2 linked regions of the Arabidopsis thaliana genome follow. The protein of the gene in region 1 interacts with the protein of each later gene in a pairwise test. Each region holds a gene or a part of one and is shown on either strand. Other genes may lie near its edges.

Region 1 (6,073 bases):
ATGATCAGTATGATTCTTGTTTCCAAAGTAGGTCATCAAACTTTTTCGGGTTGTGTTGTAGGAGTTCTAGTGCTACTAAGCATATGGAGAATCAGGCAGAAGAGGGGTAGGCGGAGAAGAGCATCAGGGTCGAATCGATTAGCCTAGCATATAGCCGTGTCTGGGGTCCAGTCTTTTTTCTACTGTCATTTACACTGACCACAGAATGTAGTCTCACTTTTACTTGGAAAACTGGCAATTTTGTTTTAGGTAAATCATTTTTAAAATCATCATTCAAAGAGCTAAAATATGTAGGAAGAAATACTAATTTCTAAAAACATTAGCCTCCACTAAAAAAAACAATTTTATTTGAAATGTATCATGCATACCCAAATTAGTGTAAACTTTTTGAAATTCAAATAGGAAGAGGCAGATAATATGGTCCCCAACCTGCCACCACACCAAAACCTAACAATAACGTAAAAAAGGTAAATTAGATTAGCCAATAAGCATATACACTTCCAAACATCAGACCTATCATTCCTCCTCCTTTTTTCTTTATAAGAAATATTTCAATTGTCCTTAGGAATTTGCATTTAGGAAGTCTGCTCTAGCAGCTGAAAATTAATAAATCATGCTAAATTGACTATATAGGCTATAGTGGTCCTCCACTTGGCCAGGTTCTCTGTTTTCATTGGGGTTCGATCCCCATAGTGGGATTATATGCATGGGCTGCTCCACTGGAGCAGAGGAAGAAAATTCATTCTTTGTTTTTTTTTTTTTTTTTTTCATTTCTTCAACATGTTGAAAGAAACGATTGTGGAGAAGATTTATACATCAGTGTTCGACTTCGATGGTTACATTAATGAAAATTAGTTTTGAAAAATGTTAGTAGTCGGATGGACACAACAATACCTAATCTTTATAGACATTGCAGTTTTAAAACTTTACCTTGCGACGACTAAACATGCAATTTGATTAATGATCATATTTCAAGATTTTCAATATATATTCATTTTATTAAACAAAAGTCCATTAGGATAGATGGAATGTTTTCAGTTTCATCAAACTACCATTGATGATTTCAAAAAGTAAATCTTATTTGCAAGTTTTGGAAAATTTTGTTTATTGGTAAATGAATCTCTCCTTTTTCTTGTTACGAAAGTCAATGTTATCTATTTTATTTACTTGCAGATATAATCTGACTTTTGGTGATCATCGTGCACAACCTTTCTGTGTAATTGTCATTTTCAATCATTTAATTTTGAATTAAGTTGCCTTTTTGAAAAAACGTTCATTCTCCAAAACCGATGCACGAATTCCGGGGAGAAGTTTCAATTATGCATCGTTAAAAAAGAATTCAGAATTGTATCACCAAAACTTTGTAACGTTAACGTAAGATTGACTATAGTACTTAATTACTTCTGGTACTACAATGCAAATCCTTTAAGTTAACAATGATAAAATCTTCCAAGTAGAAGAAGTTTTAACAAACTCTACTTTTTAAGTTGCCTGATAATGAGGAATTCGAAAAGCTAAAGAAACTGACTGTTATATAAATAAAAAAAATCAAAGAGAAACTGACTTTTACTAGTCTACAAGATGACAAACATTACAAAACAGTTTCATGTCAAATTTTCAAAATTAAAATATTTTAAAATTAGTGAAAAACGAGCAAAGCAAGGTCAAGCGTCTCTACCTAAAATAAAAACAGAAAGAAAAAAGCAACAAGGAAATTCCAATGGTTAATTTTTGTGTCAGCAATTCGAATAGTTTAAGATAAAGACGACAGTGAAATGACAAAAGACATTGCAGAAAGAGTTAAACGTAAAAAGTTGTAATCATTAAATTATCATAAATATTACGAAAAATGAATGCTAGTACAAGAAAAAACACAACAGAGAATTTATCTCTCCTTCCCTCAAAAGTCTTATATCACACGACTTTAATACACCATCTTCATTAGTCTCTCTCGATATTCTCTAAACATGGAGAAGAGAATGAAGCTCCGGGTTTCAAGAATAGTCCGGTCATCTTTAAGCTCTTGCCGACCACGAGATCTATACGACGTCGTCGAGACTTGTGCTGTTACAAGTAAAGCAACGTCTTCCGAGAGGTTCTTCGTTACCAAAGCCAAAACCAAAACTCCATCACGACCAAAGAGTCATGCTTCTTCTTGCCCTCGTGCGTCACCTATATTCCCACCAAACCCTTTCTACGAAGAGAGCCGTTCATTTCGAGATTTAAGGAAGAAGGTCAAGACAAACAGGAAGCAAAGATCGCAGTTTGGTTCTGACCCTCTCTTTGCCTCACGTTTTAAGTCAACCGGGTCTTGGTACTGGTCTTGTAGTGAGGAAGAAGACGAAGGAGACAAAGAAGAAAGTGAAGATGATGATTCTGATACTCTCTTTTCTTCTAGAAGCTTCTCCTCGGACTCTTCAAAGGCGGAGAGTTTTGCGGTGGTGAAGAAGTCAAAGGATCCATATGAAGATTTCAGGACGTCAATGGTGGAGATGATTGTTGAGAGACAGATATTTGCACCGGCTGAGTTACAACAGCTTCTTCAGTGTTTTTTGTCGTTAAACTCTCGTCAACACCACAAAGTTATTGTCCAAGTGTTCTTAGAAATTTATGCCACCTTGTTCTCTCCCTAATTTCTATATCTACTTTTTAACATCTTTTGCTAAAATGTACTATTTTGAGTCTTGAATCTTGCTTTAGTGGTTGGTTCTTTTTTTCGACTAGATTCTTTTGTTTTCAGATTATCTTTGTCTTAGCCTTTCTCTGTATTTTGATTTTCATGAACCAAATTGAGTTACTTTACAAGAAAACGGTAGGCCTTAAAAACAGACAGCGACATACCATTTAAAGCATTGAACACTTTATCAAGACCTAAAGAATTTTCTGCATATATTGTTGTGTACAGTTTATTAAAAAAAACAATATATAAACTAGACATAGATAAGAAAATTCAAACTTTTTAAATAGATTGAATACACATCATTTTTTTCTCATAGATATATATCATGAGTATCAAAATTAAATTTATTACAAAGAAATATATATTTATATAAGAAATCAATACTGTATCTTATAAATCACAAGTCCCTTTACCAATAGTATTGTGAAATGTGTCCATTCACAAAACAAAATTAATAAGAAAAACAAGTTTCTCTAAAATGTGACGAAACAACGGTTATTTTTTTAAAATAAATCCAAGTTTTTCCACGAGCCATATTTATAGGAGCATGAATTTTAAAAACAAAATAGAAAAATACAGTTATTTGTCTTTTTAAAAAAACTTCTATTGCGACATAACTTCTGTGCAAGATAGTACAGTATTTAATTTTTAGTTGAAAGCTTGACAAAAAAATGTCACATTAGCTTTAATCATATTGGCTAACATTGCCATTCATAGACACAAGATTTTCATTGTTATTAATCTTATAAAACTATTGAAGATAACAAAACATGTTATTCAAACGACTAGCTTTTTTACTAACGCAAAGGAATCGGAAGATTTTTTAGCAACTACCTACTTATTATGCTCTGCTTTAAGTATCCCTACCGAGCAATTGAAAATTTCTAGAAACTAACAAAAAGATCGTCTTCTACGGTTCTACCAATAAAAGAGAAACATCTCAAAAGATGACTTGCGGCTAAAACTTAAAATCTAAAGAGAAAAAGAAAAAAAATCAAACTTGTTCCAACTCAGAAACGGTCTTCTTCAGACTACCACCAGAACCGCCCTTGATACTATCTTCATCATGACTTATGGGTTGGTACCACTTTGCAAATATCAAATAAACCACAAAATCGATAGCTGCTAACGCGGCAATCAGAAAATAAAACCGATCCATATGACCTTCGTTGAGATTTTCCGGTATCCACCCGGGGCTATTCTCACCTCTTTTGGTTATGGCCATAACAATATTAACCATCAAACTGCTCACGTAGTTACCTAAAGCCATCGAAGCCATACACAACGAGCTTCCTAAGTTCTTTAACCCGTCTGGTGCTTGTCCGTTGAAGAACTCTAACTGTCCAACGTACATGAACACCTCACTTGCTCCCACAAGCACGTACTGTGGAATTTGCCATAAAATGGTGAGCTCACTCTCCTTTTGCCCCGGGACTACTCGTTTCAGCCGTTGGATCTCTGTTAATCCTGCAGCTACCATTGCCATTATCCCTATGATCAGCCCTATCCCCATCCGCATAAGTTCCGTGGGTCTCACGTATGGAAATATGATGTGGCGGTAGATTCCTGTTGATACAAAGACGCTGAATATGTCGAAGACCGACATGCTCGCTGCGGGGATGTGGAATTTCCCTACGTATGCATTCATCACATCACCTTGCTCCACAAACAATGACGCCATTTGTGTGAAGATCACTGAGTAGATTATAGTGCATAGCCATATTGGAAGCAACTTCATCACACATTTTGCCTCCTCTACTTGAGTTACACTGCACAACCTCCATGCATTGCTCCTTGTCCCATTCCTGGATACAGTCATACCGAAATTTCATAAGTTAAAAGATGACAACTATATGAAGTATATATTTGGAATAAAACTTGCATGATAACAAAATGAAAACGAATAATATAATGTTGTTTATATATGGTTTACCTATCATTCTCTGTAATCACTGCTGCTCTATCCAAGAAGAGAAATTTGGTACTATGAAATATCTTTCGACTTCCTTTAATGGCGGATTCAGGACCTTCAAGTTCGTACAACTCATGCGGATCTCCTGGTCGAACAACACTCCACTTACGAGCAGTGGCCACAAATACTTGCGCCACACGAGGCAACGGGTTACCACACGGCTTGACATAACGATATTGTCTTGTTGGGGCCAAAAAAGCCACCAATGCGACAATAGCGGAGCCTAGTGACACCAAGAAACCTTCAGTCCACAACCCTTTATCCTCAAAATAAACAAGGATTGTGTTTGAAAAGAGAGCTCCCACGTTGAGAGCAAAGTAGAAGTAGCTGAAAAACGCAGCTTTGGAGTTTTTATCATCATCAAGCTGGTCTGCACCGAAAGTAGCCAGCGTTGGCTGGTGGCCTCCGTATCCAAAAGCTACCAAATATACAGATAGATAAAAGATAGCAACTCCGAGGGAAGAGGGAGGGTTGCATTCAAGGTCCCCATCGCCACATCCTCGAGGTTTAATCAAGAAAAACCAAGAGACAAAAGAGAGGAGGCCAACACCGATAACGAAGATGACTTGGAATATCGTGCAAGTCAAGTAACGACCCCAATAGGAGTCACTAAGAAATGCCCCAACGAGAGAGAACATGTAAACTGTTCCTGTCCACTTGCTTACATTGTTCGCAGCTTCTGCATTACCTTGTCCCATAACACGTGTTAGGAACAACACCAAGTTTACTCCCACACCAAAGAAGGCCAATGTAGCTAACCCTTGATTTACTGTTCAGATAATGATGAATTATGTAAGATTATTTGAACTTATATACAAAATCTTTAATTTTAGTATTAATTATATATCATACCTAGCAAAATGATTGCGTTTGTCCAGCCACCATTCTTCTTCTCCTCTTTCTTCATCATCTTTTTCTGAAGGTCAGAATCGTTGGACATAAGAGACACCACACTTTGATCATCTTGAACCTCTACCACTTCACGAACTTCCAAATTTTCTGCTCTCTCCCGCTCCTTGCAATAATTAATGTCTCATTCAAATTAAATTTCCACAAACTATTACTTATTTATATTCGTTAAAGTCATAAAGGTTTGTTTACATACATTTAGCGGAGCAACGTTGCCATTATTTCTCGGATCCATAGCGGCCATTTTAGGGATCTGTACGAATTTTAGATTGAATTAGGTTTTAGTGAAGAACGTACACGTACGTGTATATATTAACGACTAAACTTGATATAGTATTCATATATGATGCAAGAAGTCTTGTTCTATATGTTTAAGCGTTTTAAGCCTGCCAATTTCCAAATTCATCACTAACAAAAGTAGTAGAAAATCAATAAAAATTGTACTAATTTAAAAGTAGATATGAATATATGGGGTAAGCAAAAATTTGTTCATTTCTAAAACAATTCCATGT
Region 2 (6,085 bases), on another chromosome or scaffold:
AAGTTCTGGATTTTAAAGATCGCTGAAATGTTGTTCCCTTTCATTTTGCCTAGCTTGTGAGAATAGCCTGTGTTGCAGATTAGTTCCACAGTTGTTCTTGAGAAATCTCCTGCTAAGAGTCTAACGACTGCAAAAAAGAAAAAACAAATCAAATTCTCCTCACAACATTGGCTAAAAGTCAATGAAAAAGTTCATCTAATTCAAGTCTTACCAGAGTGGTTAGAGAGGTAATGTGCTTCAAACGCGTCAAGATCTCTGACTCTCTCATGACATTTTTGACAAGCAAGAACTCCGAAACCGCAGATGTCAGAGCCAACAACATCAAATCTCTCTGAACAACGACCGGGAAGTAAATCAGAAGAAGATGCTCCGCTAAGCAAACCTTTGAATCTGTCTGAATAACCTGCATTCTCCTCAAATTTCACTGTGTTTACAAACCTGGAGCTCTCAAGAGACCGTGAGCTGCAGCAGCTTACATTCTGCATAGCTCCTTCATCTCCATTAGTTACAAAGACATCTCTCAGATTCGACATTGATCTTCTTGAGCATCCAGATGGATTCTCCTTCTTCTGAATTTGGATCTTGTCTGGATCACAAGCTACAGTTGACTTCTGTGCCTTGCAGCAGCTAAGAGACTTCTTGAGATAAAGCCAAACCCCACGCATGTTTGTTCAAGATCCGTCTTTGGATTCACTGGGAGAGATGTGAATTATAAAGATATTCTATGAAGATTTGGCTTTGATTCGGACACAGCTCTGTTTCTGTTTGTTCCTGCTTCACCATATCTACACAAACTGTTTCCAAAATGAGACTGAAGATTTCCATAAACGTATGATATCATGTCACACCATGAAAGAACAAACTAAAAAATCTTTTTTAGAAATAGAAAATTACAACTAAAATTTGACGTTTATGTTAAAAAAAAATGATCAAATCTTAACCCTGTATGATTCTTTTCCAATTACAACCTGGAAAATTATAATAATTTTTAGCATAATATGATTACAGAAAGAAAAAAAGATATGGGAATAATAATTTTCACCTCTCTTCACGTTCCAAAACAGAGTATAACGCCACATGCTGCCTCTATTGAGCTTTGACATTTTTAAAGTAAAAAAGTCAAACATGTGATCAACCTCTTAATTCAATATGAAATTATATCTTTGTAGTAGAATTATTTACTACTATATCCAGTTTACAAGAAAAGCATCCAAACTAATGTCATTATATAGAAAAGGAATGAAACTTTACTTACTTGGAAAGACCAAAACCGAATCTGTATTCTTTTGTCTTGCAGTGAGAGGCAAGCTTAGGAAAGTAATCTGATGCTGTTTCCTTATTATTTTCCTCTTCCTTAAACTTTCATAGAACAATTGAAATAAATACAGTAATCAAATAAAAATATAAGGTTTTTATTATGAATCAAGGAAAAATGGAAAGTGAACTTGGGTTCTTGGTTTCTGTTGTGATCATATGTGCAGACATTACAGCTACAGTCCTCGGGATCGAAGCCGAGATTGCTCAAAGCAAGGTTCTGTTTTATATTAAGAGTGAAATGTAGTTTATTTTATTTTAACTACCAATAATCTTTTCTTGTATTTGATGTTTATCCTTCAGGCACCTCATCATCATCATCAACAACATTCAAGACATTCAGGTTCTGGATGTCGAAGAAGCCCCAGCGATGGAGCATTTGCTGAGGGAGTAGCTGCAATGGTGCTTCTGTTTATTGTCCATGTCCTAGCTAATGTGCTTGGAGGCTGCACTTACATTCGCTCTAAGCAAGATTTCAAAAGAGCAACGGCGAACAAGATACTCGCTGTGGCTTTCCTTGTTCTCTCCTGGTAATGGAAAAGATAATAGGTTTTTGGATTTCATTCAAAAGACAAATTTGAATTATGTCAGCTGTTTTTGTTTTTGACATACCTTTGTTTGTCTTAGGATCTTTTTTGTTGTCAGCTACTCAACGCTAATGATAGGAACATTAGCCAACTCGAGAACGAATCGACTCTGCAGCTTGCCACATCGTTGGTTTTTTCTTATTGGAGGCATATTTTGTCTAGGACATGGAGTGGTGACTTCAGCATATTATGTTTCAGCAATTGCTGCTAAAAAAGAAGACAAAGAGAATGCGCAACAAGAAAATCTAGCAAATAGAAGCCGCGCATAACACGTCTTCTTCATCAAGATACACAAAATGTTTCATCTGTAAATAAACTTAAATTGCTTCAAAAAAGCTTCCTTCCATTTTGATAAATCCGCAATATTCCAAAATAAACTCTTTCAAGAATCAATAGAAAACTAAAATATAATATAAAAAAGCCAAGAGTTCTAAACAAAAGAGGCAGAACCAAAAAAACAAAAACCATAAATATATCTAAGCGTTTGATCCAAATGCTTCAGATATCTTTGATAGCACTTCAAAAAGAAAACCATGCTTCTGCAAAAAGAACTCAAATTCCCTAGCCTGCATCGCTTTCCACTGCTCGTAAAATCTCTTCATATCCTTTGAGGCAAGCTTACTCAATCCTTGTTGAGCAGTAAGTTCATCCATGCCAAGACCCACTATCGATCTAACAAGAGAAGACTTTGTAAAAGAGACTTCTCCTTCATCCATCACCTCATCTTCACAGTTGTTTTTACTGTTGGGCAAAGAAGAATCAAGTTCATGCTTCACAGACTCAAACTTACTACTCTTCTTCGACTTCTCATTAGATTTCATACCAGATGCAAGAGCCATTCTAATACCTCCCCAAACTAACTTAGACAATTCAAAAGCCTTGCGATCATGAGGTTTGACGAAAGTAGGTTCAACACCATCCTTGGCTTTACCAAGATTGTTCTCATACTTCTTCTTTAAAGCCCTAAGCTTTTCCATAAGCTGATTCTTACTAACATCAAAACTAATAGATTTTTTCACCAACTCATAAACCTTATTCGTATTACTTACCCCTGTATCTTTTTTGTCATCAATCAGACCTTGTAAAACCACAATCTCATCATCTTCAGTCCAAAGTCGCTGGAAATAAGTTTTCTTCGTCTCTTCTCCTCCGCCACCACTCTTCTTCTTCTCCTCTTCCCCTGAAACCTTCTTAGCCCTCTTCACATCCATAGACACTGCTGCTTCATCCACTTCAAGAGAACGTTTAGCCCCAGATTTCTCGGAGGTTTTCACCTTCTTAGCCCTCTTCACATCCACAGGATTCGTCACAACTTGATCTTTCTTCTTCTCGAGTTCAGAGTCTGAATCGGTTTCTTCATCCGAACCAGATTCGGAATCGGAAACGGCGTCGAGAGTCGTCTTCAAAGGTGATGGGTTTTCAGAGGAAACGTCATCTTCATCATCCGAAGAAGAGTTTCGTGCGATTTCTTTACCTTCTTCGTCGCTTGAAGAAGCACTCGGCGGATCTTCTAACGGATTGAAACGTCTCGACATTGTTTTAGGGTTTATGGGACTTTGGAGAGACTTAAGAGGTTGAAATTGAGATTTTTGCTTTGCTGCCTTCACCACTTCGTTCTTAGGGTTTATATATATTGAACAAAGTGTCTCTCTGTTTTCCAAAAATAAATAATCAAAAAATTATTGGAAAACGTATAAAATTATTTATTGTTTTTCCTCTTTTTTTGCATGACGTTTAGATTTCCGATTTCCTTCCTTAAAAATTTGGAAATTAGCTATATTGACCAATTTTATTTCCCTATATTTTATCTCTTACAAATAAATGTTAGATCTCTCTTTTCACAACAACACCCGAATATGACCGCTCATTCAATCGTCGCACACGTTGATAGCGTCCTTCCCAAGAAATCTCGTGAGATCGACCGTCGCCGCCGCAGACGGAAGCGGAAGAAGAAGAACAAAGCATCTCAGGCCGATGTAGATGCAATGGACGTGTCAAAATCTCTGTCAAGCACTCCTACTGGTATTGAGACACCGGATGCAATTGAACTTCGTAAGGAACAGAGAAAGGAACCTGATAGGGCTCTATACCAGGTACTTGAAGAAAAGGGAGAGAGTGTTGTTGCTCCTGGAACATTGCTGAGAACTACACACACATACGTTATTAAGACTGGTACTCAGGACAAGACGGGAACCAAAAGGGTTGATTTGCTGAGAGGGCAAAAGACAGATAGAGTGGATTTCAGTTTACAGCCAGAAGAGCTGGATGCTATGGGAAATGTTTTACAGTATGAGGAGGCAAGAGAAGAGGAGAAATAGCGCAATAAGCCAGTGGACTTGAGTGACATGGTCGTCGAGCATGTGTAGCAGAATAGTAGGAAGAGGAAAATGCATGGCAAGGAAGAGAAGAAAAAGAAAGATTTCAACTTCTGAGGTGCGTTATGGAAGAGACAAAAAAAAAAAGATTTTAGATTCTGGACATGAGACATAGAAAGAGATTCATGTTCCAGAATTATTAGTCTTGAGTAAGAGATCTTGAGTTTTTAGTCTTAATGCTTATTAAAAAAAAAAAAAAATGTTAGACCACCAATGATGTAAATTTTTAAATAGGTGATTGCATCATTGTGTAAACCTAATATTTACATTTTGAAGGATTTGGTCTTTCTGCAGTATGTAAGTTAATTCAATCCCCTTATTATTCTGACTTGTAAGGGGATTCAAACCCCATCAATGGTTTCTAAACTTAAGTTTCTTATTTTAGAGAGATAAGTTTTATTATAAAAAAATGTGTGGGTTTTTTGATTAATGAAGAAACCATCTCCAAAATACTTTATATAAGAAATTTTGGAGAGAATTTCTAAATATTTAAGAAACCCACATAATTAAATAATATTATTTTTGTTGTTTTAATGTTAAGAAACTTATATTTAGAAACCACCAATGAAATTCCTCTAAACATTAACATTGCATATAGTCATAAAAAAAATATCTATTTTCTTTTTGGTTCTCTTTTTAATATAGCTTTCTTGGTCAACACTTATTCTTAAATATCTTAGAAATTAATAAATTATTTCGTAACTCGTTGAAAGATAACTGGCCACACTTTTTGTGTATGACTCAGACATAGTTTTTGTCCACTCGGTCCCATCATGCAAGTAGATAAACACTGAATCACCAAATCTTGTTTGAGATTTAGAAAAAAAGGAAGCTCCAAGAGATGGCAAGAGTTGTTAAAATCGATTCTGCAGAGTCATGGAATTTCTATGTGAGTCAAGCCAAGAATCAGAATTGTCCCGTAAGTCTCTCTTCCTCTTATCACTTTCGTTTTCTAGTAGCCAAAATGAAATCTGATTTAGATCCAAGACCTATGAAAGAATCAAGATCTTAGGATTAGAGTTTTATGGAGAATTTGATTTACAATTGGTTAAATCCAAATTGTGTTACTCTTTAAGATATGAAGTTAGTGAGAATGAACCATGAATATTAATGTTCAGGATTGTGAATGAATGGCTCTGTCTTGTTTGTTTATATGAATTACCAAGAACGGTTGTTCCTTTATGGTTTTTTGCAGATTGTGGCTCATTTCACTGCATTATGGTGTATTCCTTCTGTGTTTATGAACTCCTTCTTCGAAGAGCTTGCGTTTAACTATAAGGATGCTCTGTTTCTAATAGTTGATGTTGATGAAGTTAAGGTAAAACTACTTATGTGTCTCTCTACTTGATATGTCTTTCTACTTTGGCTTCTTTGTTGAAGAGAAGTGTTTAACCATCAAGAGTAAAAGATTTAAACAGTTGCTAAATTGGTAGATGATTAATGGTTTTTCTTTGTTTTTTACTATGTTGGATTGGTCAGGAAGTGGCAAGTCAACTAGAGGTAAAGGCGATGCCAACTTTCTTGTTCTTGAAGGATGGTAATGCGATGGACAAACTCGTGGGCGCAAACCCTGATGAGATTAAGAAACGGGTCGATGGTTTCGTTCAGTCCTCACGTGTTGTTCATATTGCTTAAGAGAGATTTATAGATACGAGCAGAATACTAAATAAAGTTTGTGTGAAGTGTAATTAGTTTGTAACTTTGGTATTTGGTTTGTGTGAAATATCAAGTGTAAGTGTAAATTTTTATAAAAGCAAGTTCTGTTATAAACAAGAACTGGATTTATTTAATTTTGGTTCTTAACAGGGT

Evidence for each region. The genes of interacting proteins can lie anywhere in the genome.
Region 2: the proteins of OFP8 (region 1) and AT1G11510 interact in binary tests that used the Arabidopsis thaliana proteins (3 or more experiments, as listed by UniProt).

What each region holds. Positions count from the first base shown.
Region 1 is NC_003076.8:6,636,192-6,642,264, reverse strand, and holds OFP8 (ovate family protein 8), read left to right. Parts: upstream 1-1,856; 5' UTR 1,857-1,967; coding exon 1,968-2,633; 3' UTR 2,634-2,810; downstream 2,811-6,073. Other genes in the region: S1P (SITE-1 protease), read left to right, coding at 62-147; AT5G19640 (Major facilitator superfamily protein), read right to left, coding at 3,675-4,485, 4,614-5,421, 5,505-5,667, 5,758-5,805. UniProt on the Arabidopsis thaliana protein: Transcriptional repressor that regulates multiple aspects of plant growth and development through the regulation of BEL1-LIKE (BLH) and KNOX TALE (KNAT) homeodomain transcription factors.
Region 2 is NC_003070.9:3,869,401-3,875,485, forward strand, and holds AT1G11510 (DNA-binding storekeeper protein-related transcriptional regulator), read right to left. Parts: upstream 3,530-6,085; 5' UTR 3,437-3,529; coding exon 2,378-3,436; 3' UTR 2,323-2,377; downstream 1-2,322. Other genes in the region: AT1G11490 (zinc finger (C2H2 type) family protein), read right to left, coding at 1-127, 212-665; AT1G11500 (transmembrane protein, putative (DUF1218)), read left to right, coding at 1,418-1,531, 1,618-1,844, 1,942-2,170; AT1G11520 (pliceosome associated protein-like protein), read left to right, coding at 3,629-4,219; CXXS1 (C-terminal cysteine residue is changed to a serine 1), read left to right, coding at 5,118-5,195, 5,472-5,594, 5,756-5,911; AT1G11540 (Sulfite exporter TauE/SafE family protein), read right to left, coding at 6,076-6,085.